Linked DNA regions of Xenopus tropicalis. The protein of the gene in region 7 purifies or fractionates together with the protein of the main gene of each other region. This does not show direct contact. Links are inferred from orthologs where the notes say so. Each region holds a gene or a part of one and is shown on either strand. Other genes may lie near its edges. The genes, in order: ddx5, adar, ncbp1, hnrnpab, hnrnpr, ddx17 and dhx9.

Region 1 (3,321 bases), on a different chromosome or scaffold from region 7:
AGGCGATTTACCGTGTTTGAACTCTGCAAGGATGGAACACAGTTTTAGGAAATGCAAAGAACCTATAATTGCCAGCTTAGCAATAATGTGCACAGCTTGCCTACCATTTAAGACCCAGTCACGTTCCTGCTGGCTCTTATCACCATGGATTCCCATTGCAGGCCACCTGTAAGTACAAAACATTCCCCTCATCATGAAAGAAAACACTTTCCATAAAGCACCAGCATCTGGAGTTTAAACAGGCCCCTCCCCATTTTCAATATTAAAGAGACATAGAATGGAAGTGCAATAGCGCTCATGGAAAGTTTGAAATCATCCTTACCCATCCCTCCTCAACCTGCGAGTCAAGTCATCACATCGCCTCTTGGTCTCAACAAACACTATGGTCTTATTTTCTTTTTCACTCATAATTTCCTCCATCAAACGAACAAGCCTTAAAGAAAAGATGCAATTCATAAATCCAGCATCAACAGGTCAACGTTTCAGTTAGCATAAGGCCGTGCTATGTTAAAGTAATGCCTTAGGGCAGCCAAAATGCTATTCTAACCTTCATGGCTAACTGCAGCCTGGCACTGCTACAATGTGTAACCACAGCTGGTAATGGACAAGTTAGCCAGATGAGAGAGTGGTGAGTGGGAATTAGAAAAAGTTTACACATTAATACAAACTCACTTTTCATCCTTCTCCCCATCATTACACACATCAACAATCTGAAGGATATTGTGGTTGGCACTGAGCTCCAGGGCACCAATGTTAATATGAACATAATCTCTGAGGAAGTCTTCAGCAAGTTGCCTGACTTCTTTGGGCCAAGTGGCACTCCACATCAGCGTCTGTCTGTCAGGCTAGAAACAAAACAAGCAGTAAGTATCCCACACAGTTGGAATGACCATAGGAACATAGGAGACATCCTATAAAAATATACCAGTGATTCATTCTCCTAGATATGGAAGGATTGCATTTGTGTTTTGGACTTAGTGAGAAATTCCACCAATATACCAGTAGTCCCCCCGCCCATCTGTTCCACTTCCTGCTGACTGAATTCTCTGAATGTGCAGGGGAGCCGGCAGCTCCCAGTACACTGCACTGTAGGATAGGAACCAATCAGCAGCTAGGCTGACCTGATATGGAACTGAAGCCTGGCTTGTGCGAGTGCAGGGCTGCGATTGGTTTTCCCTAGTACTGTGCTTCTGGCTGGGACTGTTAGGCATTTATCCTAGGTCTCCTTTAAGCAAAGCTGCACTTACTCGAATTTGATCCACTATCTTTCTGATCTGAGGCTCAAAGCCCATGTCAAGCATCCGGTCAGCTTCATCCAGCACTAGATATGTGCATCTGTTCAGATTGGTCTTTCCTGCTTCAAGGAAATCTATCAGCCTTCCGGGTGTAGCAATGCAGATTTCAACTCCTAAAGAAACAGCATTGTTTAGAACCATAGCAAATGGGAGATATCAAGGTACACAGGACATATTGTGAGATGTCTCACCTCTTTCTAGATCACGTATCTGTGGTCCCTTTGGAGCTCCCCCATAAATACAGGTGGACCTCAAACGACAAGCTCTCCCATACTCAGCTGCCACTTGTTGAACCTGTTGAGCCAATTCCCTGGTTGGTGCCAGCACCAAAAGCTGTAAGGAAACATGTTAGATTATGGTTTATGTCTTTACAGAAATCTCTGGAAATAGAGATGTGGTTCTGAAATCTATTCCCACCAGATTGTAAAAGGTACATGCAGAGTTCTATTCTTGGAGAAAGCACTGCACTGTTCTAAAGCTGCAGATATTCTGACAGACTGCATGGTTTTGGATTTGTATGAAGGGCTAGCAATGTTGCTCTAGATTCTGTTCTTTTCCAGAGCCTGTGATGCAGATCTATTTTCTCCATCTTGATCACTGACAAAGCAAGAACCCTAGCACCCCACAGGTTTGTATAGTCTCACCCCAGCCTAACAATTTGTGGCATTTTGTCAACATATTTAGGGGTAAGCACTGTATAACTTCAATTAACCTGAATGCAGTACCAAGTGAATTCACTATACAAATACCAACAGAACCTATTCATTTCTGCCAAGTATAGAATAGCAGCAATCCACCGACACAATTTACTTGATTGCTACTACATGGGATATTAAGCTTAGACCTGCAATTCAATCACCTTAATTAGGGGGTGACTGTTGCTCAGAGAAAGCTGTGCTTTTATAAAGTTCTGGTCAGTAAGATTGTTACAGTCTAACCCCATTGCCAAGCCATCCCTAAATACACCATGCCCTCAGAGAAGGTTTCAGATGTTCTGCAGTAAGCCTACTTACAATTGGACCATCTCCTCGCTGTAGGAATGGCTGATGGTTGATATGGACAATCCCAGGAAGTAGATACTGCAAACAAGATGTAAAGGGTTAACTTACTAACATTTGCACATGTGCCAGCATGAACAGCATCACCAGCCTAGTACTTACAGAAAGGGTCTTTCCGGATCCAGTCATTGCAACACCAACCATATCCAGCCCACTCAGAGCCACTGGCCATCCCTGCCCTTGAATAGGAGTGGGGTCAGTGAAGTTCTGCCGTTTAACCACTTCCATGAGATTGGCTATAGGGAGACAGAGCGGTCAGGCCGATTCCAACACAACATAAAGAGCTGCAGAGATGAGGGGCAGGGGATTTACCTGGGAAACTTGCTTCATGGAACTGCAAAACTGGCTTTGGACAGTTAAGCCCTCGTACGGTGATCTCTTTGCTTCTTCTGTATTGGTCACATTCTTGCTGCAAAACAAAGTCCATATTGGATTTAGTAATCTGAGCAACCCCCCTGGCCATTTCAGTTAGATAGTGTAGTGGCCCAATGAACACTCATTTATTTACTATAATTACAGGGGTCTAGAGCACCCAAATCTCTCCATAAGGAATGTCCCAGGTAAATATCCACCCTATCCAACAGCAGCAGGACAGGACAAAGCACTGATCTCCATAGCAATCATTTACAATACATAATAACCACCCGTGCTAGCCAGCCAGGCAGTTTCTATGAAAAGATGGTGCCATACACCTAGGGCACAGCCCATGTTAGCTGAAACATACAATAAGAAGCCTTCCTAATGTGCAGATAGCTGTGAGAGGTACCCAGTGCCAAGCTGGTTCATCCCAATCAGGCAGCAAACTCACCGGTGTCCGTCTCACAACATCTGGATGTTCTTGATAGAAATTCTTCTCAAATTTGGGCAGTTCATCCAGGTTCCATTTCTTCTTCATAAGCCGCTCCCCAGGGTTTCCATATTTGCCAGATGTACCACCTCGGTTTCCCCCAAAGCGAGGACCACCTCCA
Region 2 (3,941 bases), on a different chromosome or scaffold from region 7:
ATTTAAAGCTTAGTTTTTACCTTTCCTTCTACTTCCTATAGTGTTAGTAAAACATACATTGAAAAGGATTGATTACCTTATAAATCCCCGACGAGACACAATCTCTGCGTGGCAATCATTAACCGTCTCTCCTCTCAGGCTCAGTTCTTCTCCCTTCACACAGCGGTTCCCTATTGAGACAGACACGGAGAGACTGCTGTAGGGGGTACAGAATGAGGAGGGATACTAACGGCAGGAGAAAGGTGAGAGGTACCTACCAGTGCCGATGCTGACCACGGTGCCCAAGTCATCACTGCTCTTCTTCATGATAATAGCAGCTAGGATCTTTCTGCCCAGCAGACTGTTCTGGATTCGGGCTGTAAGGCTGTTGAACTTCTGGTGACTAAGCATGGCAATCTGGTCGTGGAAAGTACTTCCGCTCACCGGGAGCTGCAGGACAGATACAAGGGAGACGCTTAGGCAAAACTGACAAGTTTCATTGGCTGGGAATAAAGCTAAGCCTACAGAAGCCAACTTTCAGAGCATTATAATTGGTATTATATATATATATATATATATATATATATATATATATATATATATATATATATATATACCAATCTTGATTTCCAAAAGGTGACCAGTAAATACTACCTGCTGATTGGCTGCAATACGTTCCTAGGCAAGGTGCAAACATAAGACGATTTATTACATTACCAAAAAGTCTGATATTAGAAGTCTAAAACTGCTAATATCTGGAATTAATGTCAACTGTGAAAGTGCTCAGAGGACCACTAAGGACCCATTGGGGATGCACCGAATCTACTGTTTTAGGATCCGGCCGAACCCCCCCCCCCAATCCTTTGCAAAAGATTTGGCCGAACCGATAAGGAAGGATTAAAGAGAACCGCACAGTGAAAAAACTTCGACTTCCGGGTTTACGTGACAAAAAGTCACATGATTTTAAAGGGGTGGTTCACCTTTAATTAAGCTTTTAGAATGGCTAATTCTAAGCAACTTTTCAATTGGTCTTCATTATTTATTTTGTATAGTTTATGAATTATTTGCCTTTTTCTTCTGTTTGCAGCTTTCAAATGGGGGTCACTGACCCCGGCAGCCAAACCCTATTGCTCTGTGAGGCTCCAGTTGTATTGTTATTGTTACATTTTATCACTTTCCTATGTAGTCAGGCTATCGCCTATTAATATTCCAGTCTTTCGTTCCAATCAAAGCCTGGTTGCCAGGGTAATTTGAACCCTAGCTGCTGAAATTCCAAACTGGAGAGCTGCTGCAGAAAAAGCCAAATAATTCAGAAACCACAAATAAAAAATGAAGACCAATTGCAAATTGTCTCAGAATAGCGCTCTCTACATTTTACTAAAACTTGGGTTGAAGGTGAAAGGAGTTGTTCACATTTGAGTTAACTTTAGTATCATGTAGAAAATAATATACCTTGACATTTTGCCATTGGTCTTCATTTTTTTTTTTTTTTATTACCTGTAGTAGTTTTTTAGTTATTTCGTTTTTAGTTCAGGAGCTCTCCAGCCTGGAGTTTCAGCAGCTATTTGGTTACTAGGGTCCAATGTACCTTAGCAATCATGAAGTGGTTTGGATAAGAGACTGTTATATGAATAGGAAAGGGACTGAATAGAAAAGAAAGTTAGAAAAAGGAACAATAAAACTGGAGCCTCACAATAGGTTTTGGCTGCCGGGGTCAGTGACCCCCATTTAAAAACTGCAAAGAACTGGAAGAAGGTGGCAAATAATTCAAAAACTATAAACAATAAATAATGAAGAGCAATTGAAAAGTTGCTTAGAATCAGTTTTCTGCATCAAATTATTTAAGCTTAGCTCCCTCTGTCGCCCCTACCACATTCTCTCGGGGCTACCTACCTCCGTCATGACGTCCCCTTCCCGAGCCGCCCTTTCCGCTTCGCCGATTAGGACCCTCAGTGCCGCGTCGGCAGCTTCTGCCTTGGCCTGTTTCTTGTTAGAGGCGCTGACAGCTGGGAACCAGCGACCGCCGACCTTTGCTTGAAACACAAACCTGAGAGGCAAAGACAGATGTGAGAAAATGATAGGTCCCTGTTGATTGGATGAGGCCTATTAAACCAAAAACTAAAGGGATCATAGGAATTCGAGACAGGGCTTGTAGGGAGAAAGTGGGTCAGGGCTCGACTAATTATTCGCTATCATTGACCAATAATATCATCAGCTTCAGTTAGTCAAGGGTTCACCTACTTGGGGTCATGGGGGGGTCCAGTTTGGTTGACCATTTTAAACTCAGCGGCAAACCCCTTGGCACGAGCGTACTCCAGAAGGCCACTGACCGGGTTGGCATTGAGATATTTGATCAAGTCCCCGACGCTGGACGCCTGGGCCATTTTCAGATCTTCCACAGAGAGTTCGGGGACTGCAGGGAACTCTGTTGGGTTGGGATGGAAACTGGGCTCCAACTAAAAGGCAAAAGAGGAGATACGTTGGCTTTGTCACACCACGCCCTGGCTGGGGCACCTATCTAATCGTACGTTTGAAGGGCAAACAATGATCCTAGCAATCAGGAGCAGAGTTAAAGGGGAACTCCCCCCAAACATTTTTTCTTCAATTAAAAAACATGCAGCCATTTAATGCTTTTTAATGTAATTATATGGTTAGGAACAGTTCCCTAAGCAACAACCCCTGTTGATCTTGAAACTCAAAAAAAAAATAATAATCTAACAGTTGACTGTCCTCAGCCTGCATCCCCAAATCCCACAATTCCCTGCACATGTGATGGTAATAAGGAAAGGAACATCCCAGTGCAATGCATTGTGGGTTATGTAGCTGTGGAGTCGTTACAATTTGTAACATCAGTGTTTTAGTCCCTCCTCCCCTGCCAGGATTTCAAATGATGCAGAAGGTGAATACCTGTTTTACAGCTGGATTTCTGCACATAATAATGGTATTTATTCCTACTTTTTATGAAGGAACAGATTAAAACGATAGGTATATTAGGGGTTTTTCAGTTGTGCGGGGCTCTTCAACAAATTTTGGTTGCAGTTCCCCTTTAAAGGGGTTGTTCACCTATGAATTAACTTTTTGTAGGATGTAGAGAGTGATATTCTGAAACAATTTGCAGCTGGTCTTCATTTTGTGTTTTGTTCAGTAGCTATTGTGTTTTGTTCAGTAGCTATTGTGTTGCTAGGGTCCAAATTACCATGGCAACCAAGCACTGGAATATGAGTAGGAGAGGGCCTGAATAGAAAGAAAAGTAATAAAATTGCAGCTTCTCAGAACAATAGTTTGTGGGTTTCTGGGGTCATTGAATGCTGGAAACGGTTGGAAGAAAAAAACTAATAATTTAGAAACCATCACAAGAAAAAAATGACGACCAACTGAAAAGTTGCTAAGAACTGGCCATCTTATAAACAAACTAAAGGTTCATTTCTACCCCTTTAATATAGAAACTCTAAATAGTAAAGTGCCATTATGAATGTAAAAGCTGGATACCCAAGTATAAGAGGTAGAATTTCTCAAGTCTGTCTGGTTTGTTTACCTTGTCAGGCAGCAGCACGCTGTCTCCCAGGAGCTCCCTCACAGCAGCCTCGGCGGCTAGCTGTTTGGCCATCTTCTTGCTGTTAGCCACTACAGGAGGGAAGGTCTGGTTTCCAATCCTTACAGTATAAGTGAACCTACATATAAGCAGCACAGTATAAGCACAGGCAAAGCACAGATCAGTCCACTCAAATAGTTCCCACCAATTAAAGACACCGATTGGCTATCGAATCCATGAATAAAAATCTGATTTTGACTGCCGGGGTCAGTGACCCCCCCTATTTGAAAGCTGGAATGAGTTAGAAGAGGAAGGAAAATCTGAGCTGTCAATCATATATTGCCTTCCCCGCCTCTATGCTTCAGGCATAGGGGCAGGAAATTACTTTCGCTTTCCATTCAGCACTTCAGATAGTGCAGTATAAACAAGA
Region 3 (3,941 bases), on a different chromosome or scaffold from region 7:
AAATGTTCCCCTGACCCCACTAAATGCTTAGTCACCCACCGGGATCTCCTGGTGCAGGTGGCCATGTTGGGACATTAACAACAGCTTCCCAGCTTTGGCTTGGTCCGCACACTTGTATCGATGTTATGCTCGTGTAGCATCACATATATGTGAATAAAGAATGAGCCTAGAGACTAAAATATGGCTGCATCTCCAGTTGGGGAAACAATTTGTAGATAATAGGTGCCCTTTAAAGCCTGCAATGGTAAGTTATTAGGCATCTGAAGAAAAAATGCAGGCCACTAAATTTTAATATACATATATATATATATATATATATATACATATATATATATACATATATATACATACATATATATACATACATATATATACATATATATATACATATATATATACATACATATATATACATATATATATACATATATATATACATATATATATAATAAAAAAAGACCAGCAACTCCGGGATTTCTTGTGAAAAATCAAAACATATATTCAAAGTAGCATAAACAGCCGACGTAACGTTTCGGTCCCCATCGGGGACTATTGGAACCCTTTACCGAGCACCCGAGGTATGTTATGTAGCGGTGTGCCATCCTTTGTGTATATATTATATATTTAAAAGAATGCATTAAAAGACAAGAACTTACCTCTTCCTGTGGGTGTGGTTTTTCTGCTGACCATACTTGTAGAATAGATACATGGAGCTTTTGACGTTGCCTTAAGGGTGGAAAATAAAATCTTAGTTTTCGTTTTTTTAAAAAATAAACACTGACTGTACATACATAAAACCTTATAGGCTATGATTAGCACAAGCCAAAACTTGTGGGCTCAATTTAGAGAATACAAATACACAACAAGAACTGGGAAATAACTCACTTCAGGTAAGCTTCAATTTGGGATAAAATACGGTCCATCTCAACATCTTTTTTCTCATATAATTCTTTTCCAACCCATGGCAGTGAAGAAAGAACAGCATATACATACCAGTCACTTCGCACCTGCAATTAAAATAATGGGTTTAAACTACACAATGGCTCTGACCACATGCTTGAGAGTCACATTAGAGAGGTAATCAAAGCATTCTTATATTTCATTTTGCAGTAAGATTCTAAAAGAAGGTGTGAATTCAGTTTGAAAGGGTTAATTTAATAACCCTAACTCCAGCTAATTTTGGATATATGACAAGTAGTAATGTGTGGGCAGAGCTGTGGAGTCAGAAGCAATTTTGGGTACCTGGAGTTGGCAAAAATGTACCGACTCCAACACCTAACAAATTTAAATTGTAATGAAAAAAAAAAAAATCAATATGTTACAATGTCCTATTTCCAAGATAATAGTCATAATAAAGTACAGGTAAGGGATCCCTTATCCGGAAACCCGTTATCCAGAAAGTTCTGAATTACGGAAAGGCCATCTCCCATAGACTCCATTATAAGCAAATAATTCCAATTTTTAAAAATGATTTCTTTTTTTCTCTGTAATAATAAAACAGTGCCTTGTACTTGATCCCAATTAAGGTATAATTAACCCTTACTGGAGGCAGAACAATCCTATTGGGTTTATTCAATATTTAAATGAATTTTAGCAGACTTAAGTTATGGAGATCCAAATTACGGAAAGATCCCTTATCCGGAAAACCCCAGGTCCCGAGCATTCTGGATAACAGGTCCCATACCTGTACTTCTCTGCTGTAAGAATATAGCCCAGTGCATAGCCGTTTCACTAGGGTGAAGTCCAGCAGAGCTTTTAGAAGCTTATTGTATTCATATTTGTCTTCTGTTTAAACTTTAGGTTTAAGGAATGTTTGTAGTTTCTTTAATAAAGCAAAAAGCCACAATGACATAGGCTTAGTTATAGATTAGACCCAAACTTGAACAGTATCCTCATCCATGTTGGCAGTGCCAGGCTTGGATGGCCAGTAGGTTAGTGCATCAGCTTCCTAGCCAGTAGTTCTTTGGTTTGTTCTTAAAAGAAGACACCATCTTGATATAGCTTTAAAGCTGATGAGCTTTGGCAGTGATGAAGTGTCTTGTATGTTTAGTTCTTTCAAGCAACATGGAAATACATTAGTATATTAAAGAAACAGTAACCAAAAAAATAAAAATGTTTTAAAGGAATTAAAATGTCATCTACTTTTGCCCTGCACTGGTAAAAGGGTCATGTTTGCTTCAGAAAGACTTGTATAGTTTATATAAACAAAGCTGCTTTGTAGCCACGGGGTCAGCCTTTCAAGCTGGATAAAAAGAAGACAGACACAGGTTACATAGCAGATAACAGATACACTCTGCAGAATACAATAGCAATCTACACAATTTATCTGTTTTCTGCTATGTAACAAGGGCCTTTTTCAATCTGAATAGTTACCCCCACAGCACATTTGTTTATATAAACAATAGTAGAGATTTGAAACAAACACAACTTTTACCAGTGTAGAGCAAAAGAATATAATATATTAATTTTTTGCTCTCATTTTTTGGTGTTCAGAGGAGTTGTAGGTACCATAAACTGAGGAGTTGGAGTCGAAGAATTTATGTACCGACTCGACAGCCCTGTGTGTTGGTCAGAAAAAACTCAATCCATACCAGACCCTAACCCACAAAATACTGCCATTGTAGGACCCGCACCCAACCCATACCACCCGCATCTTCCAACTCTGTATGCTTTTTCTGTGCATGCCTCTGGGAGCAGGAGTGTACTTCACCAGTCTGACCTGCTCCCAACCTGAACCTGCAATGGTCACCCAAATCTAAATCCAAACCCACCCCACCAGCAAGTTAAACTGTGGGTTTCGGGTCAACCCATACATCACTAATGACAAGTGCACTATGAGTATAGGCAAAACTCTTTTTGTGTATAAAGTGGCAGATTGGCTTCTTTAGGCAACATTTGCGTACATTTCCAACACTTGCAGTTTTGCAACTGTCCAAAGTATGAAGAAACAAAAGAAAATATTTTTAATTATATCAGTAGAAAACAGTTTCTATAGGCTTTCTTTAGGGTACAAATCATTTTCTTAAAATAAATCAATTATGCAGGCAGTCTTTTTGAACTCATATGTATACTGAATACTGTGTTTAAACAGACCAAAAACAAAGATATACACTATAAAGTAAAGCTATTTAAAGAATAGGAATGGTGTAATTGTCCAAAATTGTCATTATCCAAAGGCATCCCTTAACGTAAACAAAAATAATAGACTAGCATTTGAGTAAATGCCCCAACAGGCACAAAACACATTGGTAATTAAATTACAAGTGCCCCAACAGGCATGAAACACATTAGGGATATTTTATGGCCTAATTTTACATTTTTATTTTAATCACTGTCTCTTCATATGTATATTGCCTTCTTTTGCTGGTGTTTCAAACTTACCTGGGGAATATCTTCTTCCTGAGTGACTCCAACAAAGCTTTCAAACATGGCTACCATTGATGGAGCTGCGATTACATGGCAATTTACAAGGTCACAAAGAAAACGAACCTATAAGTGGAGTCATTGGAATACAAGAGGAAAAAATGAATTTGTAACTTTTCAAAACATTTTTACCTCACACAGTACCAAGCAAATATGAACGTAGTGACTACAGTTTTTAGTAGAATTAAGTCTAAAACTAAACTTTGAGTGGTGAAACGGTTTCAAGAAAACTCAGAGTGCCTTCTTCAGTTGTGACTGACTGTATACTGCATCCAAAAACAACTGCAATCAAATCAATTAATGGGCTGAATTATTTCACATTCTCGACTGCAAAAGATTTTTCAGTTTGTCAAAATGCTACCTGGAAGCATAGATTCCACTAGCATGCAAGATTTTTTTTCAAAGGCCTAATGTATACCTCCATATTGTGTGATGGCAGTCAGATCCATCGGGCTGAATTAGTAGCTTGATTAATCTGATATTTGCATACAATACAGCATTAGAAAGTGAAAATTGTG
Region 4 (4,503 bases), on a different chromosome or scaffold from region 7:
AATTAAAATGTCTAGGACAGTAGGAAAGGACAGAAAAGCCACACAACTGCTTATTTATATCCCCAGGGTTATTCACATAAGGCCGGTGGCAATTAAATGGGAACAGAGATGCCAGCCCTGATCAGTGCGCACATTAGCTCCGCCCTTGCTCCCCAATTGTGCTGCAGGGACCAGTGAGAATTTTAGGTGACAATTCTACATCACGCACTTATGATTCCTGTACAAATTACTGTCAGTGTCTGGCAAGCCGGTGACTGTGGGCAACCAGGAGGGGGGGGGGACTCACTGGGCTGATGCTCTAATCATTTTTTGGGGCTAAATCTAGTCACGCAAGAGCAAATGGAAAGTGGCAGGTATATATGTATATCTTTATTTTTAAAGCGCTGTACAGTAGAATACATTAATACAAATAGGGGGTTATTAAGATAATAATAAATACAAAGTATTACAATAAATACAAATAAATACAAGATACAGTTGCAATAAGAGTCAAAGACACAAGAAGATGGAGGTCCTTGCCCCATAGAGCTTACAATCTATATCTAAATCTATAATCTAAATATGTGGATTTGGTTCTCCTTATTTGAGGTGGCAGGGTAAAAAAAAGGCAAAATTCTGCTCTACTTCTTTTCCTTATGCAAAGTAGAGCAGAATTTTGCCTTTTTTTTTACCCTGCCACCTGAAATACAGAGAACCAAATATAAATATTTAGATTATAGATATAGGTTGTAAGATCTATGTATATATATATATATGGATTTGAGCAATAGCGCTGTATATATATATATATATATATATATATACACACACACACATATTTGGATTTGAGCAATAGCGCTGTATAGAGGAGACTATAAGCTGGCAGGGGCAGCTGAGCTCCATTATAGGGGCCGCCGCGCATCCCATCTGTTGAGGAGCACAGCCCCCCGTGTAATCCCCCCTCCCCCACTCACGCTGTTGGGTTACAGCATTCTCTATGTGCAATCTCTTGGCATTTAATCACACCTAAACTCAGAATCTCCCATAGAAAAAAAAAATGTCCGCTAAGAGTTTTCAAGCAGCATTTCGTCAGTTTTACAGTATTTTTATTGCAATTTCCTCCCTGACCCCATTAAGGACAAAACAGGGCCGATCATAAAAACAAGGGAAACACTGGGCGAGCCGAAAGATTACGCCCGGCGGTTGCGATGAAGCTTCGATAAAAGGAATTTGTTTCCTCTCCGCGAAGTAAATACACAACCAAAACCATAGCCGATTTGGGGGAATCTACGAACTATGATGGCGTTCATGTAGAACGACTCGTAAAGAAGAGATCGCGATGTTTAGATGAGCTCACAGGCACCGCCCCTCCTCGGACACAACGCACCAATCGCGCCTGCTGATCAATACAATGGCTGTGGCGCACTAGCCAATCAGAGTAGGTTGTGTTTCGGGGTGCGGCGATCCGGCTTCTATAAAGGTAGCCACGAGTTGGCATTGTTGGGAGAGTCCATCTTGGAGGAATTTGGCGATTGTTGGCGCTTGTGTAAGAACGGGGAAAATGTTGGGGTTGTGCGTGGGATTTATGGAGCTTAGGGGCCAGTGGGGTTTTTCCCGTTTGTTATTGTGTAGGCAATATGGCGGGCGCGGTGATGGGTGGCTGTTCCCTTAGTTGCGATGGGGTAAATGGCTTATTGGAATCCCGCTCGATTTTCTTTTGTACCCCGCTAGGCATTTAGCCCCTATCGGGCTGCACTATGTGCCACTTGGGCTTATTGTTGGCTCAGGGAGCTGAGTGGATGCGCAATAGAGTATTATGGGGTAGATGTGCTTATTAGTGGGGCCTGCGGGGTTAGCAGCGACTGTCGGCCTGTGTGCCCGGGGCCTAGCGGCTCCTACTTTACTTTTCCCGGGATTCACTCTCTCTCTCTCCGCTTTCCCTCCCAGCCTTTCAGTGCATAGAAACCCCTCACAATGTCCGATACCGAGCAGCAACAGTACATGGAAACTGGCACCGAGAACGGGCACGAAGCGTGCGATGCTGAGGCCGCGGAGAGTAAGGTGCCCGGGGGCCAGAACGGCGCGGAAGGCGATCAGATCAATGCCAGCAAAGGCGAGGAGGACGCAGGGTGCGTACCTGATATTTCTTCCCCTTTAACTGAAGGAGTGTAAGTTAATTTCATCTATCTTTCATATTTCTCTGGGGCTGGGGGGATTGTATCGGCGCTTCCTTTGTTCCGCTGCCGCCTTGGCGCCATTGCCTGTGTGTGCTGGGGGGGGGGGGTTACTCATCGGCCGATAACTTTATATATACGCATAGTCCCTCTGCACCGTTCTATTTGCGCACTTATCCTCTAGGCAGGATTATTTTCTACCAGGAAGACTGTGATAAAGCTTATCAGGGCCACTGCAGATACACAGTCCATCTGAGGCTTTGTGCGACTGCAGAGTGGTGCTTTTTGTCAGCTCCTTATGCCCCATGCAGGAGATGCTGCAGCCATGGCAACTAAATAGAAACACTACTGTAACTACTCACTGTTGCCCCTGTAACTACTCACTGTTGCCCCTGTAACTACTCACTATTTTTACTGCTGTCTGCAGCCTGTTATGCCATTCTGGCTACTGCATCTTTACACATTCCATCAGGGTTGCCTGCTGAATCTATTGGTTTCACTTTCCACTTTGGGCCAATGTTCAGTCATAGCCTTGTTATAAGATTGTTGGGTCAGTTACCCTACAAATTCTGGCAAAGTTGATCCTTAATCACCCCCCCCCTGTTTCAGACTGCTTTTGGAGGGGACTAAATGTTGTCCTTGTATAACCTCTTTATTCCACAGGATTCTACCTATTTTTTACAGCACAACACTGGTTATTTATAGTGGCTTCCTACAGCAATAAGGGATCAGGGGCTCTGCTCTCAAGAGCTTTCAATCTGAATAGATGTGTTTTATACAGAATCTGCCCCTGCTTCTGAAATGAGTGATCGACTGTCCTGTTTACACTGGGAGTAGGAATCCACTCTGAGACCAGTTTGCAGGGGCATGTAGCCTAAACTTGTAATTTCATGCTTTGGGACCATGTATATTTTTTTCATTGACTATGCAGTGAAACACATTGTCACCTTCAGCACTTGGGTGGCAGGGCAACAGTTGATCTGTTTATAGATTACAAATTTCTCTTGGAAAATTTTAAGCAACTAATTCTAAACTTTCCAATCATTAATTACAAATTTGTATTTTTTTGAGAATTGCTGCTATTAAAAGCATTACCTCTGTCATTTTCTGTTCTCACCTGATGGTTTGGCAGTGTAGCAGAGATTGGACTGGTAACAGATCTGTAATAAAGCATGTAGGGGCAACACTTGTTATGTTATAACAGTGCAGAAGGTGGCAAATGTACTGTGTTCAGTTACTATTATCAAATGGTATAATTTGGAGATTGTAATTCTAATGAACTTTAAAATGTTACTTTTCTTTTAGGCTAAAATGTGGTGTTTTGGCTTTACATCCTGCTTGAAGGAAAAAAATAGATATTCTTTATGCAATATCCTTAGACTTGCACTGTACAGGAAATGAGTTAAAAACAATATACACCCCCTTGTTCAGAATTTCCATCAGTGTCTTGTGCTAAACACTTTCCTATTAAGTCATGGTTTTTGTTTAATCTCACTGTTAAGTGCAAGAAATTTACCCCACACAAGGGGCAACTTCTCATTTTTTCATTTTTAGCAAAAATTAGTCTGGCATTCTTTGCCAGTAGATGTGCAGGCTTTTTGGGGTTTTGTCTAAATCAACTGCCCCATATCAGATTTTGGCATGGTTTGTATGACCCAGCTGTTCTAATTCAAGACCAAATTAGCAATTCTATTTAAACCTATTGCCAGTTAAATTGGGGTATTGGGTCAGAGCCTGTCAGGATGGCCCAATATGAAGTAGTGCTAATGTAGAGCTATTCAGGGCAAGTGCTAGGAATCTAGGAGAGCAGTTAGGTGGCTACTAAATCCTTGTTGGTGATCGTGCTGCTCTGGTTTTCACCACTGCCTCTTTACTTTACTTTAAACAAAAAATGCATTTGCCCACTTATACTATTTAAAGTACAGTCCCCGCTTTACTAGGATAGTGCAAATGTAGCTAAGGCACATGTGCTGTATACAGAAGATGTATTTGCCTTACAAATCTGATGTTGTGTGATGGGTATTTTATTTTTACAATTCTGTTTATCTAAATCTGACTCTTTTTGTACATTGCTTTAATGGACTGCCAGTATAACTATGCAATGTTTTATTCCTAACGCATGTATCTCTCTTTTTACCCTGTTTGTATAAAATGTTGCTTTGGGATCCACAAACCAGGAGTAATGTCTGCCAGGGGTACACTAGTATTAAGGGACTCGGTCAGTGCTCCTTAGCAGGTTTACATTGTAAGCCTTGGTTTGAGTCTTTCACTAAACAACTCTTCTGGTGAATTTCCCTTTTAATGCAATGTGAGAATTGTATAATTGTTTATATTAGGAGAATCTAATCTG
Region 5 (4,592 bases), on a different chromosome or scaffold from region 7:
CATGGCCACCATTACCATTAAAAAGACTGGCAAATGCTCTGCCTATAGCAGGTGCTGGTGGTAACAGACATGGATCATTAAGAAATGCTTATTTCAGTATTCTAGTGTTTTTTTTCAGTGCAAAGTGTCAATGGGCAAATAAAAGCATTAATGAGCCAGACTAAGACCTAGGCATATACATGTTGCAATTCCACTACTTTCATGTCCTCGGCAAATATGCACTACTGCAGTAAACCACAGCAACCATGACTGATTCAGGTAAAGAGTTACTTTTATTACTTTACTTGTAGAAGACTAATGGAAATCCTGTACAAATTAGTTGCAGTGGGGTATGGAATGTGGAGTGGGGTATGAAAACTTAACTCAACCTGCAGATTTAAGGTTGTCATACACGCACAGATATTATCATATGAAACAAAGTTTTGTACGATAATCGGTGTGCGCACAGTGGGAGACAAGGCGACCGCTACTGGTAAAAGCCTTGGATATCAGTTGTCTCACCAAGGACTGAAAATTTTGAAGGGGCCTGAACATTGTAAAGTTAATGCTAAATTGTCAGATGGGGTAAATAATTTCTCTGTTTTTACCTGCATACCTGACGATTCAGCTCTTAACGTTACTAGAGAGGATGAAAAATCTTTCATATGCCCAATGGTTGTGGGAAAAATCGTAATTACCGCGTGTATGCTGCCAATGTATGAGGATGGTCAGGCCATTCCTAAACACCTCTCATAACCTCCCTACTCTTCAAAAGCCCCTTTCAAGAAACCAAATCTGATATTACTCGGAACAGCTACTAAAAAAAAAATTTTGATTGAGAAGAGATGTCCTCATCCATATGCAAAGCAGAAGGAATTTTTTGTAAAGGAAACTCCATTTCACACCCTATAGACAGAAACTCACCACTGGGTTTTAAAGCACAGCCAGGGTAGAAATCCAGTCAGCCTACTGTCTTGGCAGTGCTTTATAAACCCAGTGGGTAAGGATAGGGTATAGAAATTAAGAGCAATCCTGGGCTTCCTTCCCAGAATTCCTTCTGCTAGGGATAACTACACAACAGCATTTTAATTTGGTAGGTAAAATACCAAGCATTTCTTACAGGTACTATATTAGCTAAGTTGACAGCACTTTAGATGAAGCAATATGGAGCTACTAGTAGCAGCTACTTGTCACTGCTACAAAAACAGACATTTACTGATAATCCTCTCTACGAGTGTTTAGCAGATGCAATTCTCAGTATTGTCTATGGTAGGGTATTTTCTGGCATTTAGTAGCGGTGACAAGTAGCTGCTACTAAGTAGTTCTGTGTGTCTTTGCCCTTATCCCATTTGAATAAAGTATAGGCATCATTTTTCTTATCTCCCCAGCCTGTAAAAATGTATATAGTAATAAAGAAAAGGGCTACTAATCCTGCCTCTACAATCTTCAATCCATTGACTAAAGGCAGCCATACATGGGCAGATTTTGGCTTCTGATTCAGCTCCTATAGTCCAAGTTGGTAGCTTATCTGCCCATGGGGCACTCCAATGGGCCTACCTGACCAGAGACCCAGGCAGGTGAACAATTACAATCACTGGGTTTTTAATAAGATAATTGCTTAAACCCCAATCACTTAAACACTAGATACAGTTTCCATGTGTTAAATTTTTTTTAGGGTTGATGGTGTGCTTTTAAAGGACTGTGATCTTAGCATCAAATAGTTCAAAATGAGCACCAGAACTGGGGAAAAAATAAGATAAGAAATGAGGATCAACATCAAGTTATCTTAGAATGCAACTCGGCTTTTTGTTATGTTGACAAAATTGCAGGGGAAGCAACATATAAGAACCATTTAAGATCTGTATGTATTTACATTTAACCAACGGAGTCCAACTTGTGCGCCTGTTATCCACTATAGTACATTTTCAGCGAGCATATTAAATTAAACAATGTCAGGCAGTTGTGTCATGCGCCCATAGGCAGTCAGGGTCTCTCAACTGACAACTAATTTACTTTGTTTAGAAAACAACCACCATAAACAATCAAAAGTTATGGCAAAATTCCTTGCCACATTACCGATAGGTAAATCACAACACAAAACGGTTACTGGAGCTTAGCTCCCTTTATAGTGAGAACAAAAAACACTTTCATTTTAACGCATCATTTTAATTGCTACTAATTAATTAACTGTACAATTAGAAACTGACACCGATTCCAAGTGCCAAGCCAGAAGAGACTAAACTGTGTCTCTACAGCTGCTGCAAAACCTCACATATCAAAGCCCTGTCCAACAAAGCTGGAAACTACATTTTCAATAGCTATGAGTTACATAACATTGCACACTATGCAATATAAATAAGAGTATAAAGGGCACATATATTAACAAATGCAATAAATGACAGCCCATAAAAACTAGCCCGTTTACTATGTTAGTGCCCTAACGCAATTCAGCACCCAAGTCATGGACCTCTACATACACTGAACACAATAGATGCTGCCCATTTAAAATGAATGGCATACACCTTCAAACAAGCTACAATGAACATTTAACCATTCCATATTTTTTCCGGAATTCCATTAGCATTATACATTGTTTTGCAGTGATTTTTTTTATTGAGGTCTGAAGGATAGTATTCATTACTGCGGAATACACACCTAACTGTTCATACAGTTTTACATCTACTCCAATTTAAAACGCAAAAAGGACAAGTACAATGGCGGCGAAGGTTGTCATACTTGGCTGCTATTCAGGTTCAAACATTACAGCTTTGCGGAAACCGTGGCCGGACGCTCAGAAGCGTACGCAACGAGAACAGAGGAAGCCTACTCACCTGCAGAGCTATGGCCCTCTTGCCTCACGCCCGCTGTTACAGTGAGCTAGTAAAATGGCGCGCCTCACGGACTGCGAACCACCGCCTTCTCTATCCCTACTAAGCCAATCAACAATACTGGCCGCGGGGTCCACACCACCAGCTGCCAAGGACTAGCCTATTGCGGGTAGGAGGAGACGAATAAGCGGGAGGGAAGGCGTTACACCTCAGCCAATTGGGAAGCGGAGTACATAATAGGCAATGGCAGACTTATGAAAGAAGTGGTTCGGATTGGTGATTGCGAGAGAGTTTGTAGCTAATGAAATAGCTGCCTCTGGGATGGCTAAGGATGGAAAGGAATGGGATGTGAAGCTTTTCGGGGTGGAAGACAATGCTGCTGGCTTTCAATGAGCTATTGTTTGGACCGATTAATATATATCGCATGTACCAATATAATGTCTGTGCTGCATGTTTAAGTCCAGTTTCGTTTACACACACATATGCATACATATATATGTACGTACAAATATGCGCACTTGCAGTACATTCGGGTACAGCTTAGATGAAAAGATGAAAGGCACGGTTATATGTATGGGTGTAAAACACCAAAGCTGCCAAGGAGAGTCAGTGTTCGCAGCGTTGACATTTCTACTCTGCATATACCACAACTTTCACAAGCAGTGATGCAGTGTAATTGCATTTTTGTTGTTCATATATCATAAATACCAGTATGGGCTCTATTACCCGGAAAGCTTGGGACCTGGGTTTAAAGTAATGTAATGAAAATCAAGATGGCCTCATAATGTGGAGCTTTTCTGGGCATTGGGTTTTCAAATAAGAGACCCCAAATGCTGTTGCTAAAAGCAGTACATTTACAACAGAGGGAACAGTGCTTGTTATACACAAGTTTCACAGAGGAACGTGACACAGGTTATCACATTACATTAGTAAGCGCTGTTTATAGATATAGCTATTAATATCACTCACAATGATCTCTGTGCAGTGTCTGCAGTCATATTAGTCAGTTCCAGTAATTCCAGGGCTGGTGATCAAAATCCAGGCCTAGCCCATAATAACAATAATACAAAATTTGCTAATTGTGACACAAAAGGGGTGGAATTTGAAAACTACATTCTGTGCATTCATGAGTAATATTTACAATTTATATGGATGTATATTTATATGAATATGTTTAGTTATATAGGGTTACTTGTGCCCTGCATCACTATACCTAATATTAGGAGAAAAGACAGATGTCAATATAATAATAAAATATAAATACAAAACATAGGGGCACATTTACTAATCCACGAATCCGAATGGGAAAAATTCGGATTGGAAACGAACACTTTGCGACTTTTTCGTATTTTTTGCGATTTTTTCGTCGCCGTTACGACTTTTTCGTAGCCGTTACGACTTGTGCGAATTGTAGTGACTTTTTCGTAGCCGTTATGATTTGCTCGTATATTGTCACGACTTTTTTGTATTGAGCGCTCGTAAACGGCGGGCAAATCTTTCAGACTTTGCATGATTTTGGAAGCCTCCCATAGGACTCAATGGCACTCTGCAGCACCAAACTGGCCCAAGGAAAGTCACGATACTGAAGCTTGAATGAATCCGAAACTTTTGTACTCAGCGCGACGGCTACGAAAAAGTCGCGACAATTCTCGCAAGTCGTAACGCTACAATTACGAAAAAAGTAATCAATTACTTTTTTACGAAAAAGTCGTAACGGCTACCGATCATTACGAAAAAAACGCATTCGGACGCTTTTCGGACGTTCGTGGATTAGTAAATGTGCCC
Region 6 (4,696 bases), about 20 Mb from region 7:
AAAAAAACCCACACATTTTGCAAAAGTTCTAGGCAATAATATTAAAAACTTACGTGGAAAATTGGCCTGATGGAAACCATATATAGGTTTAGGGCAGTTTACACCACGGATAGTAATTTCTTTCTTCCTACGGAGCTCCTCCACATCATGCTAGAGAAAAAGAATAATTGCAAGAGATTTTTGTAAACAGGTAAAAAGTAGAGCTTTCCCATAGAAAAAAAAACAAACCATAACAAGCTGCATGTGGAGACATGTATTTTGACCGCCATGGTACGTTAAAAGAAAATCATGGGTGCCCAAACATGCCTATGGTCATAAAAACAGAAGGGGCTCATCCAGACTCACCTGTGTCATGCGTGCCACTTCGGGGTGTTCTGTATAGAAATTCTTTTCGAACTTTGGCAGCTCACTCAGATCCCAGCGTTTCTTCCGGAGACGCTCCCCGGGGTTTCCAAATTTTGGAAAGCGTGACATACCAGCACCACTAGTCATCCAAAAAATAAAAACAAAGTATATCAGGAGACTTTTTTAGCACTTTTTGAATATTATAACCTAAAGCTATTCATTACATCATATAAAAAATGTATACATCCCCAGTTGGAAACAAAAAAGCTGATGCTTAGTGAACAATCCCAAGGGGCTGACTGCTGTTAGGGCTCTGACACATGGGGAGATTACCGTATATACTCGAGTATAAGCCGATCCGAGTATAAGCCGATCCGAGTATAAGCCGAGGTACCTAGTTTTACCTAAGAAAACTGGAAAAACGTATTGACTCGAGTATAAGCCTAGGGTGGGAAATGCAGCAGCTACTGCTAAGTTTCAATAATCAAAATAAATACCAATAAAATTACATTAATGGAGGCATCAGTGGGGTATGTTTTTAAATATTTATTTAAAAGAAATACAGTAAACTAGCTCAATCAGCAACCAAGCTAAAACACAAAGAGTTAAAATCCTTCAAAACTATGTATAGTTTATATAGAATATAAATTGCAATGTCTAGTGCAGAATAGGACAGGTAAGGATGATAGATGAAGATGAATTTGGGACGGGCCAGGGCACTGGAGGGTCTGGTTGCGGGGGGGGCCTAATTTGCACACAAAGGACAGAGGGTGCTGGTCTGGAGGGACCCATGGCAACCGACTCGAGTATAAGCCGAGGGTGACCTTTTTCAGCACATTTTGGGTGCTGAAAAACTAGGCTTATACTCGAGTATATACAGTATTTGCCGAGCGACACATCTTCCTTATCACGGGCGACTTATCTCCCCAAAATGCCATCCCACCAGCAAGAATGTAAATCGCCGGTGGGGTGGCATACGTGGCGCTGTGATTTGCCGAAGTTTCTCTCAAGGAAACTTTGGCAAATCGCAGTGCCACATATGCCATCTCACAGGCGATTTAGGCTGATGCCACACGTGGCGTTTTTTCTCAGCCTCAAAACGCCGCACAAGCCACACAGCCCCTGACTATGGCGTTTTTCAGCTTAGTACTGGAGACGTAGCAAATCCCGTTTCCATGGTGCTAATAGTGTGAAATAGTAAAAAACGCCGTGTATTTCCACTAGGTCTGGCAGCTGTCTTTGTGTATAAATAGGAATAGCTTGCTGTGCAAATACTGGCGTATTTTGGCAAATGCTTGAAAAATCCATGCTAAGGCGTTTTCTAGTGTATTCCCGCATTGTGTGGTTTGCTTCGAGTCTTTTTAAGTTAATTCTATGGATGATGATATCGGGCGTTTTTCAGCCGCCGAGAGAAAAAACGCCTTGTGTGGCATCAGCCTTACCTTCTAGCCAGTGGGATGGCATTTCAGGGAGATTACTCGCCTGTGACATGGAGTATTTGTCGCATAGTGACTTATCTCCCCGTGTGTCACAGCCTTTAGAGTGTAGTGCAGGGGTCCCCAACCTTTTTAGCTGTGAGCAACATATAATTATTAAACAGTTGGGAAGCAACTCAATCATGAAAAAAAGTTCCTAGGGGTGACCAATAGGGTTGTGGTTGGTTATTTGGTAGCCCATAGGGTTGTGATTGGTTATTTGGTAGCCCAATGTGGACAAGCAGCCTACAGAAGGCTCTCTGTAGCAGTTCACATGGCCTTTATGCCTCCAAAACTTCAACTTCAAGTCAGAAATGCAAAAATGGGCACCTGCTTTGAGGCCACTGGTGTAGTGGAAAGGAAGGGGGGTCAGCAAGGACAGAAACATTAATTGATATAATGAAAAACAAGACAGTATCCAAAGTGAATGGATAATAAGCACCTAGAAATACATTCCTACTAATTATGCACAGACAAAAAATATATCTGCCCATGGGTTTGTGCTGAAGGTGCAGGTTACTGGTGGGGGCCCTGCAAAACTGTGTGTGAGGTGGGATCATTTCCCTATTCTCAGGGTTTATTATTGCCCCCAATTAATATATGTCCTGTATAGAGAACTGGGAATTAAACTTTATTTATACACGTTGCACAGGGGGCAGGAGGAATGCAAGTCTATGTACTCTATAAATAACTAAATGGCGCTCAGCTCACGGCTACCCTTGAAATAAAACAGAGGCTTTTACACGTAATGGCGGACACAGCACTGCAAGGAATGGGTGGGAAAACTGCGCTTCAACTCCTGGCGAATTCCAGCTCCCACCAACCGTGAGAGGCAGCTGTCGCACCTATGTGCCTTTGTGTCGCTCCGCTCCGGCGCAGATCGCAAAAACAACGCTATACTGCGTCAACAAACCCGATACCTCTTGAGAACAGTGCGCATTTTCAGCCAATGCTTCGGAGCTTGATGTGCTTATCAAACCTTATATTATTTATGCAGTGCTCAATGCCTCGCCGTCCTAAATGTGCAGCTAAATGCCCGTATCAAAACAACGCTCACCCGCCTCGGTCGCGATCCATAAAACTTCCCCTCATTTTGAAATCTGCTCGTATAACCAAAGAGACACTGGGACACCGTTCAACCTTCTAAACCCTGGGCGTTGCAACGCTGCTTAAACAGTATCCAAAGGCAGGGTTCCTTAGTGAAAGTTAACAGCTGATGTGCTCTAAAACTGAGCAACACGCAAAATGGCGTCCGAGTTCTTTTCCGCTCTCTTAAGATTTCTTGAAATGGAGACTTTACGCAATACGGGCGCAAGGACCGCCTGTATAAATGGCCTTTTCACTACCACTTGCGTACAGATAATAGAGAATAGCGACCAGCCTCCTGTGACGCATCTCACCCTGTTGTTTTGGAAAATGGTGTGATGGCAAGGCGTGACATCTCAACTGGCCAATCAGAGGAATAGAAGGCGTGGCTGCTTTGGAGACCTGCTTTTTGAGACGGGAAGCGATGTTTATTGTTGGTGTTACCTGTTATCGACTTGCAGTTTCTAGACAAGCAAGTGAATAATGCTGGGCGTCTGGAAACGTAGACCCTCATTGACTAATAAAACAAAGCTATGCCCCGTTTGAGTGTATATTAGGTTCTTCCATTTGCAATTTTTGCAAATAATTGGACTAAAGCGTCAGAAAATGTTTTCGTGTCTTGAGAACAGTGTGTTTAGTATGCGTTATAGTAAGTAGTAGTTTTGAACAGGGAAGTTTATTTTTTATTTATTGGTCTATACATATAAAGTGTTGAAATATCTCCAAGGTGCTTAATAAATATTTATGTATGAGGCCCAGCCCCAGCAGAGTTAACTATCTAAGGTACCTATCACATTCACACACACTGTGCTCAGTTTATTCAGAAGCCAGTTAAGTGCCTGTATGTGTTTGGAGGATGGGGTAAGTGGGGGTACAGAAGAACTAATGCAAGAATTTCATGCAGGAAGCACCCTGTCCGGGACTGAACTCAGGACCCCAGCACTGCATGGCAGAGGCGCAACCCCTTGGTGTTGCCAAATAAAATTGTTATTGCCCTTCTTCTTCTCATAAGGACAAATCTGTAATACTTTATGACTAAGATACTAATGAAAATTGGATGCCATAGGGCTTATTTTGAATATCATTCTAAATCTGCTAAATAGTGGGAGAAACCGGCAAATCTGTTTCATAAATTCCCAGTCTCTCTCTGCCAGCCAGGCAGCTTTCCCCACTTATGGCTCTGGCACACGGGGAGATTAATCGCCCGCGGCAAAACTCCCTGTTCGCGGGCGACTAATCTCCCCGAGTTGCCTTCACAACTTACATTGTCGCTGGTGGGATGGCAGGTGAAGGCAACTCGGGGAGATTAGTCGCCCGCGAACAGGGAGTTTTGTCGCGGGCGACTAATCTCCCCGTGTGCCAGAGCCCTTACTGAGCAACCCAATGTAGTTCATATGGGAGGCACAGACAATGGGGCACATTTACTAATCCACGAATCCGAATGGGAAAAATTCGGATTGGAAACAAACATTTTGCGACTTTTTCATATTTTATGCGATTTTTTAGTCGCCGTTACGACTTTTTTGTAGCCGTTACGACTTGCGCGAATTGTCACAACTTTTTCGTAGCCATTACGATTTGCTCGTATATTGACGCAACTTTTTCGTATTGAGTGTTCGGAAACGGCGGCCAAAACTTTCAGACTTTGCATGATTTTGGAAGCCTCCCATAGGACTCAATGGCACTCTGCAGCTCCAACCTGGCCCAAGGAAAGTCTCCCATAGGGCTCAATGGCACTCTGCAGCTCCAACCTGGCCCAAGGAAAGTCTCCATAGGGCTCAATGGCACTC
Region 7 (3,941 bases):
TTCACTCTACCATTTAAATTTGTATTCTTGAACAAACAAATGTATTTTTTTAATTGTAATATCGGCGTGTAGGCAGCTTTTAGAAGGAGCTAGTGCTACACATTAGAACTGCTTTCAGGTAACCTATTGTTTTTCCTACATCCATGTAACTGGAGGAGTCCTAAGCTGGACTTGGAATTTTTACTATTAAGTGGTATTCTGATATCTACCACTTTTAGCAATACAGGTGTCAGGGAGCTGCAATCTTGCTACCTTCCCATTGTCACTGCCATGGCTGCCTTCCTTGCAATTCCTTCTCTGATACCAGGCATGTGTGCATGCATAGTAAAGGTTAACTTATACATTTTGATTTTACTCTACCACACATGCATTCAGCTGAATGTAGCCAAAAGAGATTGTGCTCCCTCCCTAATATCCCAGGCAAGCGCATTTTATGGCAAAGTAGACCACCAGAAGGTAAGTGACTAGAACCACTGGGATGGGTGCATAACAACTAGATACCCTGCAACAAATCTACCTATCATTGGAGCTGATCTAAAAAAAAAAAAAAGATAAAGAACTTTTGACATAAAGCTATATTAGCCTGTAAACACCTTTATTGTGAAGTTCACAGCAGGTTTTTAGTTTTTTGCAGGCTAATACCATGTTTTGTCTATCTGTGACCAAGTAATTCAAGTACCATTTCAAATGCTTGAGGTGTACATTAAAAAAAGTCTATCCATGCTAGACATAGACTGCGCTAAAAGTAATGATACAAGGTGAAACCATGCCTGTTGCTGCGCAGAGGTGGGGTGGGGCAGCATCAGTGTTTGCGTCACGGGCAGAGAAAGTGCACAGTGTGCCATTAACCTGACAGCCAAATAATCAGTTTTTTTTTTATAAAGGTGCTTTTGGGGAAGGTTTAATGTAACATAAAGCTTTAAGGACTTGTCAACCCGAAAAAAAAAAAATTGCCTAATAAAAGAAAACTTAATTCTAAGCAACTTTGCAATATATATTTATTACATATCTGTAATGGTTTTTTTTTTAGTTATTTGTATAGATAACTGTTACTAAAGTGTCAGGGGAAACATAACTGCTATTAATTCCATTCTGTGCCTTGGGTGCTCTGGCGACTGAAACAATGTAACAAACGCAAGCAGATTTTACAGACCTGCCTTGCTGGAGGAGCCTGGCACTTGTAATAATGTTTCAAAAGTAACAACCAGGAGTTCAGCAAATGCTGCTTTCTATAGCAATTATATTTACAAATAACTTTTAAAGCACTAATATTTTTTAATTAATTGATATTGGAAAGTTTCTTAGAATTATGTTTTCTCTTATTAGGCAAAAAATTATTTTTGGGGTTCACATGTCCTTTAGACTTGTAGTAATAAAACATATACAAAAGTATATAAATATTGATGTGAATTCTTTACACTATATTCCTTATGCAGTAGCATCAGTACGGAGTAAGGCCTCTATAAATACTCTACTATAAGAGTTAACTTCTGCCAATAGATATTAAAGGGACAGCTGGCCTTAAAACTGAAAATCTTTTACAATAAATGTAGACAGAACATTTCTTAAAAAACCTGCAGCAAACAAAGTAGCATATTTCTTGGATATTTTTTTTTCTAATACACTATACTAATATTTCTTAGGATATTGTTGAACAGTGGTAGAGATAAATAATTAACATAGGCATGAGATGGCTACTCAGCCTGAGGGTCCTAAGTGGGAAGGGGAAAATTTAGTCTTTAACTAAAATGTTATAGTTAGATCAACATAGCCAAGCAACCTTTCAATTATTTTTAATGAGTAACTTACATTAATGTCACGCTCATGAATTTCATCCACAATCACATGGCTAATTCCTCTTATCCCAGCCTCCAGTTTCCTCAAAAGGACTCCTGAAAATATTAATAATATTGTCAAGAGAAAAATAAATTAACTGTACAAGGAAAACCATCATTATTAAGCAATACGTACCCACAGTGCAGAAAAGCATACTGGCATGCGGACGGGGAAGAACAGATTCAAAACGCACACTGTAGCCACAGCTTTTTCCAATCTCTTCCCCTCTTTCAAAAGCAACACGTTCTGCAACAGATACTGCACTGATCCTTCTAGGCTATAGAAAAGGAAAAAAGACCTCACTACCCACTGCATCATTTATGTTATTTTATGTTTAAGTAACATAGAATTGATTTCCAGAACTATACCTGTGTAACCACAATATTACACTGCGCTGCACGATCATTGCGAATACATTCATCCAGAATGTATTGTGGGACCTGTGTAGTTTTACCACAGCCTGTTGCTCCACGGATGATTACAACAGGGCTGTTATGCACAGCATGCATTATTTCCTCCTCAAATTTCTTAACAGGAAGAGACTCTCGATCAATCAAGACCTAAAAAGTGAAAGGCAAGAACTCACTGAAAGAATACATATTAAAACACCATTGAATACATTATAGATTACAAATGTTTTTACAGTTCAGTCTTGAGCACTGTAAACATTCAGAAAAAATAGTGGTGCTAGGCTTAGCAAAAGCCACAATTATAAAAACTTTTGCATAGTCTAGAAACTGAATCAACCAACCTGTTTCATGTTAGGATCTTGCATGTGATACATGTGTTCATTCTTTAATTCTGCACTGATCTGCTCCTGGGGAGCCTTTAAAGAAAGTAGATGCCAATGTAACTTTAAAAATTTAACCCAAAAGAAGGCAAATTCAACCATTTTATTTTTCTGAAACTACAAAACTTACAAATGCCAGAGGTCCTTCATCAATGTTGCTGCTTGTCCATGGGTTCCAGTTTTCCTGTGGGGGAGACCATGGCACCACACCAGAGTGACTCTGCTTCTGTGAAGGCTCAAAGTGTACCAGTTTTCCCAAATTAAGGGACACAGGTTGGCTAGGATCCTGGGGCTATTATGGAAAAACACAGCAATTATATTAAAACAAGCAAAAAAGGGAAAGGGGAAAAAAAACGCACACTACAAAACACTTACTGGATATGGTAACTCAATTCCTAGCTCCTGAATAGTACTCTGCAGCTGTTTCACCACATCAGGATTTAAGTTCACTTGATAAGGTTCCACCTGCCAGACAGAAACATTAGTATCATCTTAGTAATAACAGCATTTTTAGAAGCAGCAGCATCTGTTTGTTTCAGAATGTTTTTGGGGTATTCCTAATGAAATTAAGTTAATTATATGAATCACAATTAAGATTACCCACAAACTTTGCATTTGAGACAATTATAATCCAAAGATAACAAAAAACAATATTTACAATGCAGATGGTTATCTACAAGGAACTTACAGCCTCCCCTTCCTTTTTCTTTGTCAGTCCTGAGTATGGTTCAATTACACTTAGATGATACAGCTGACGGACAATTGAAAGGGCACAAGATTGTGCCGCCAATTTCTTATTAGATCCATGTTCTCTTGCCGTGATTCCTGAATATTAAACAAAAGGTTTAGAGAGTACAAAGGTAGATGCCTTCTATACATATGGCATATTTAGTTGGGGAACTTACTTCTTCCAAGCTGCTTAACATACAGGGTCATTTCTGCAATAAAGCTCCTGCCAAAACATTTATTAGAGTGTTAGGAAAGCATGTACAGACCTAAACGTAACACATTTATTCACCTTGTTAGGGAGTCACCGAAAAAGCACAGATAAAGAAGAGTTCCAGCCTAAAACATCATATATTCCATCTCTGGCACACAATGCTGTTTCTTGCTGGCAAAGAAAATGCCAATACACTATTTCCACTGTGTGGCTAGTGATATGAATAGCATCAGCCTGTCACTGTGCAAATGGGAGCTGATTTTTGCAGAAAATGTTCATGTACACAATGACAGGCTGATGCCATTCATATACTGCACACAAAAGAACTGGTTGCTTCTGGCCTCTATCTGTGTTTCCACTGCTGGCGGTGAACAT

What was found.
Region 1: the proteins of dhx9 (region 7) and ddx5 fractionate together in Homo sapiens (co-fractionation; 3 studies listed by BioGRID and IntAct, with this or other methods). This does not show direct contact. The link is inferred for Xenopus tropicalis from reciprocal best matches to the Homo sapiens genes DHX9 and DDX5.
Region 2: the proteins of dhx9 (region 7) and adar purify together in Homo sapiens (affinity purification with western blotting; 3 studies listed by BioGRID and IntAct, with this or other methods). This does not show direct contact. The link is inferred for Xenopus tropicalis from reciprocal best matches to the Homo sapiens genes DHX9 and ADAR.
Region 3: the proteins of dhx9 (region 7) and ncbp1 purify together in Homo sapiens (co-immunoprecipitation; 3 studies listed by BioGRID and IntAct, with this or other methods). This does not show direct contact. The link is inferred for Xenopus tropicalis from reciprocal best matches to the Homo sapiens genes DHX9 and NCBP1.
Region 4: the proteins of dhx9 (region 7) and hnrnpab purify together in Homo sapiens (affinity purification with mass spectrometry; 3 studies listed by BioGRID and IntAct, with this or other methods). This does not show direct contact. The link is inferred for Xenopus tropicalis from reciprocal best matches to the Homo sapiens genes DHX9 and HNRNPAB.
Region 5: the proteins of dhx9 (region 7) and hnrnpr fractionate together in Homo sapiens (co-fractionation; 3 studies listed by BioGRID and IntAct, with this or other methods). This does not show direct contact. The link is inferred for Xenopus tropicalis from reciprocal best matches to the Homo sapiens genes DHX9 and HNRNPR.
Region 6: the proteins of dhx9 (region 7) and ddx17 fractionate together in Homo sapiens (co-fractionation; 3 studies listed by BioGRID and IntAct, with this or other methods). This does not show direct contact. The link is inferred for Xenopus tropicalis from reciprocal best matches to the Homo sapiens genes DHX9 and DDX17.

The regions. Positions count from the first base shown.
Region 1 is NC_030686.2:51,537,208-51,540,528, reverse strand, and holds part of ddx5 (probable ATP-dependent RNA helicase DDX5), read right to left. Parts: coding exon 3,162-3,321; intron 2,763-3,161; coding exon 2,666-2,762; intron 2,590-2,665; coding exon 2,456-2,589; intron 2,375-2,455; coding exon 2,309-2,374; intron 1,629-2,308; coding exon 1,487-1,628; intron 1,409-1,486; coding exon 1,248-1,408; intron 846-1,247; coding exon 673-845; intron 434-672; coding exon 323-433; intron 167-322; coding exon 105-166; intron 24-104; coding exon 1-23. UniProt on the Homo sapiens protein: Involved in the alternative regulation of pre-mRNA splicing; its RNA helicase activity is necessary for increasing tau exon 10 inclusion and occurs in a RBM4-dependent manner. Binds to the tau pre-mRNA in the stem-loop region downstream of exon 10.
Region 2 is NC_030684.2:142,283,010-142,286,950, reverse strand, and holds part of adar (double-stranded RNA-specific adenosine deaminase), read right to left. Parts: intron 3,651-3,941; coding exon 3,515-3,650; intron 2,436-3,514; coding exon 2,221-2,435; intron 2,027-2,220; coding exon 1,873-2,026; intron 430-1,872; coding exon 258-429; intron 171-257; coding exon 77-170; intron 1-76. UniProt on the Homo sapiens protein: Catalyzes the hydrolytic deamination of adenosine to inosine in double-stranded RNA (dsRNA) referred to as A-to-I RNA editing.
Region 3 is NC_030677.2:107,420,120-107,424,060, reverse strand, and holds part of ncbp1 (nuclear cap-binding protein subunit 1), read right to left. Parts: intron 3,490-3,941; coding exon 3,382-3,489; intron 1,008-3,381; coding exon 886-1,007; intron 727-885; coding exon 657-726; intron 1-656. UniProt on the Homo sapiens protein: Component of the cap-binding complex (CBC), which binds cotranscriptionally to the 5'-cap of pre-mRNAs and is involved in various processes such as pre-mRNA splicing, translation regulation, nonsense-mediated mRNA decay, RNA-mediated gene silencing (RNAi) by microRNAs (miRNAs) and mRNA export.
Region 4 is NC_030679.2:31,076,458-31,080,960, forward strand, and holds the start of hnrnpab (heterogeneous nuclear ribonucleoprotein A/B), read left to right. Parts: upstream 1-1,508; 5' UTR 1,509-1,525; intron 1,526-1,926; 5' UTR 1,927-1,953; coding exon 1,954-2,108; coding exon of another isoform or gene 2,109-2,147; intron 2,148-4,503. UniProt on the Homo sapiens protein: Binds single-stranded RNA. Has a high affinity for G-rich and U-rich regions of hnRNA. Also binds to APOB mRNA transcripts around the RNA editing site.
Region 5 is NC_030678.2:82,773,017-82,777,608, forward strand, and holds the start of hnrnpr (heterogeneous nuclear ribonucleoprotein R), read right to left. Parts: upstream 3,009-4,592; 5' UTR 2,811-3,008; intron 1-2,810. UniProt on the Homo sapiens protein: Component of ribonucleosomes, which are complexes of at least 20 other different heterogeneous nuclear ribonucleoproteins (hnRNP). hnRNP play an important role in processing of precursor mRNA in the nucleus.
Region 6 is NC_030680.2:120,510,315-120,515,010, reverse strand, and holds the start of ddx17 (probable ATP-dependent RNA helicase DDX17), read right to left. Parts: upstream 3,055-4,696; 5' UTR 2,913-3,054; coding exon 2,878-2,912; intron 485-2,877; coding exon 346-484; intron 151-345; coding exon 54-150; intron 1-53. UniProt on the Homo sapiens protein: As an RNA helicase, unwinds RNA and alters RNA structures through ATP binding and hydrolysis.
Region 7 is NC_030680.2:100,157,402-100,161,342, forward strand, and holds part of dhx9 (ATP-dependent RNA helicase A), read right to left. Parts: intron 3,579-3,941; coding exon 3,532-3,578; intron 3,452-3,531; coding exon 3,315-3,451; intron 3,092-3,314; coding exon 3,002-3,091; intron 2,919-3,001; coding exon 2,757-2,918; intron 2,663-2,756; coding exon 2,588-2,662; intron 2,397-2,587; coding exon 2,205-2,396; intron 2,114-2,204; coding exon 1,972-2,113; intron 1,893-1,971; coding exon 1,810-1,892; intron 1-1,809. UniProt on the Homo sapiens protein: Multifunctional ATP-dependent nucleic acid helicase that unwinds DNA and RNA in a 3' to 5' direction and that plays important roles in many processes, such as DNA replication, transcriptional activation, post-transcriptional RNA regulation, mRNA translation and RNA-mediated gene silencing.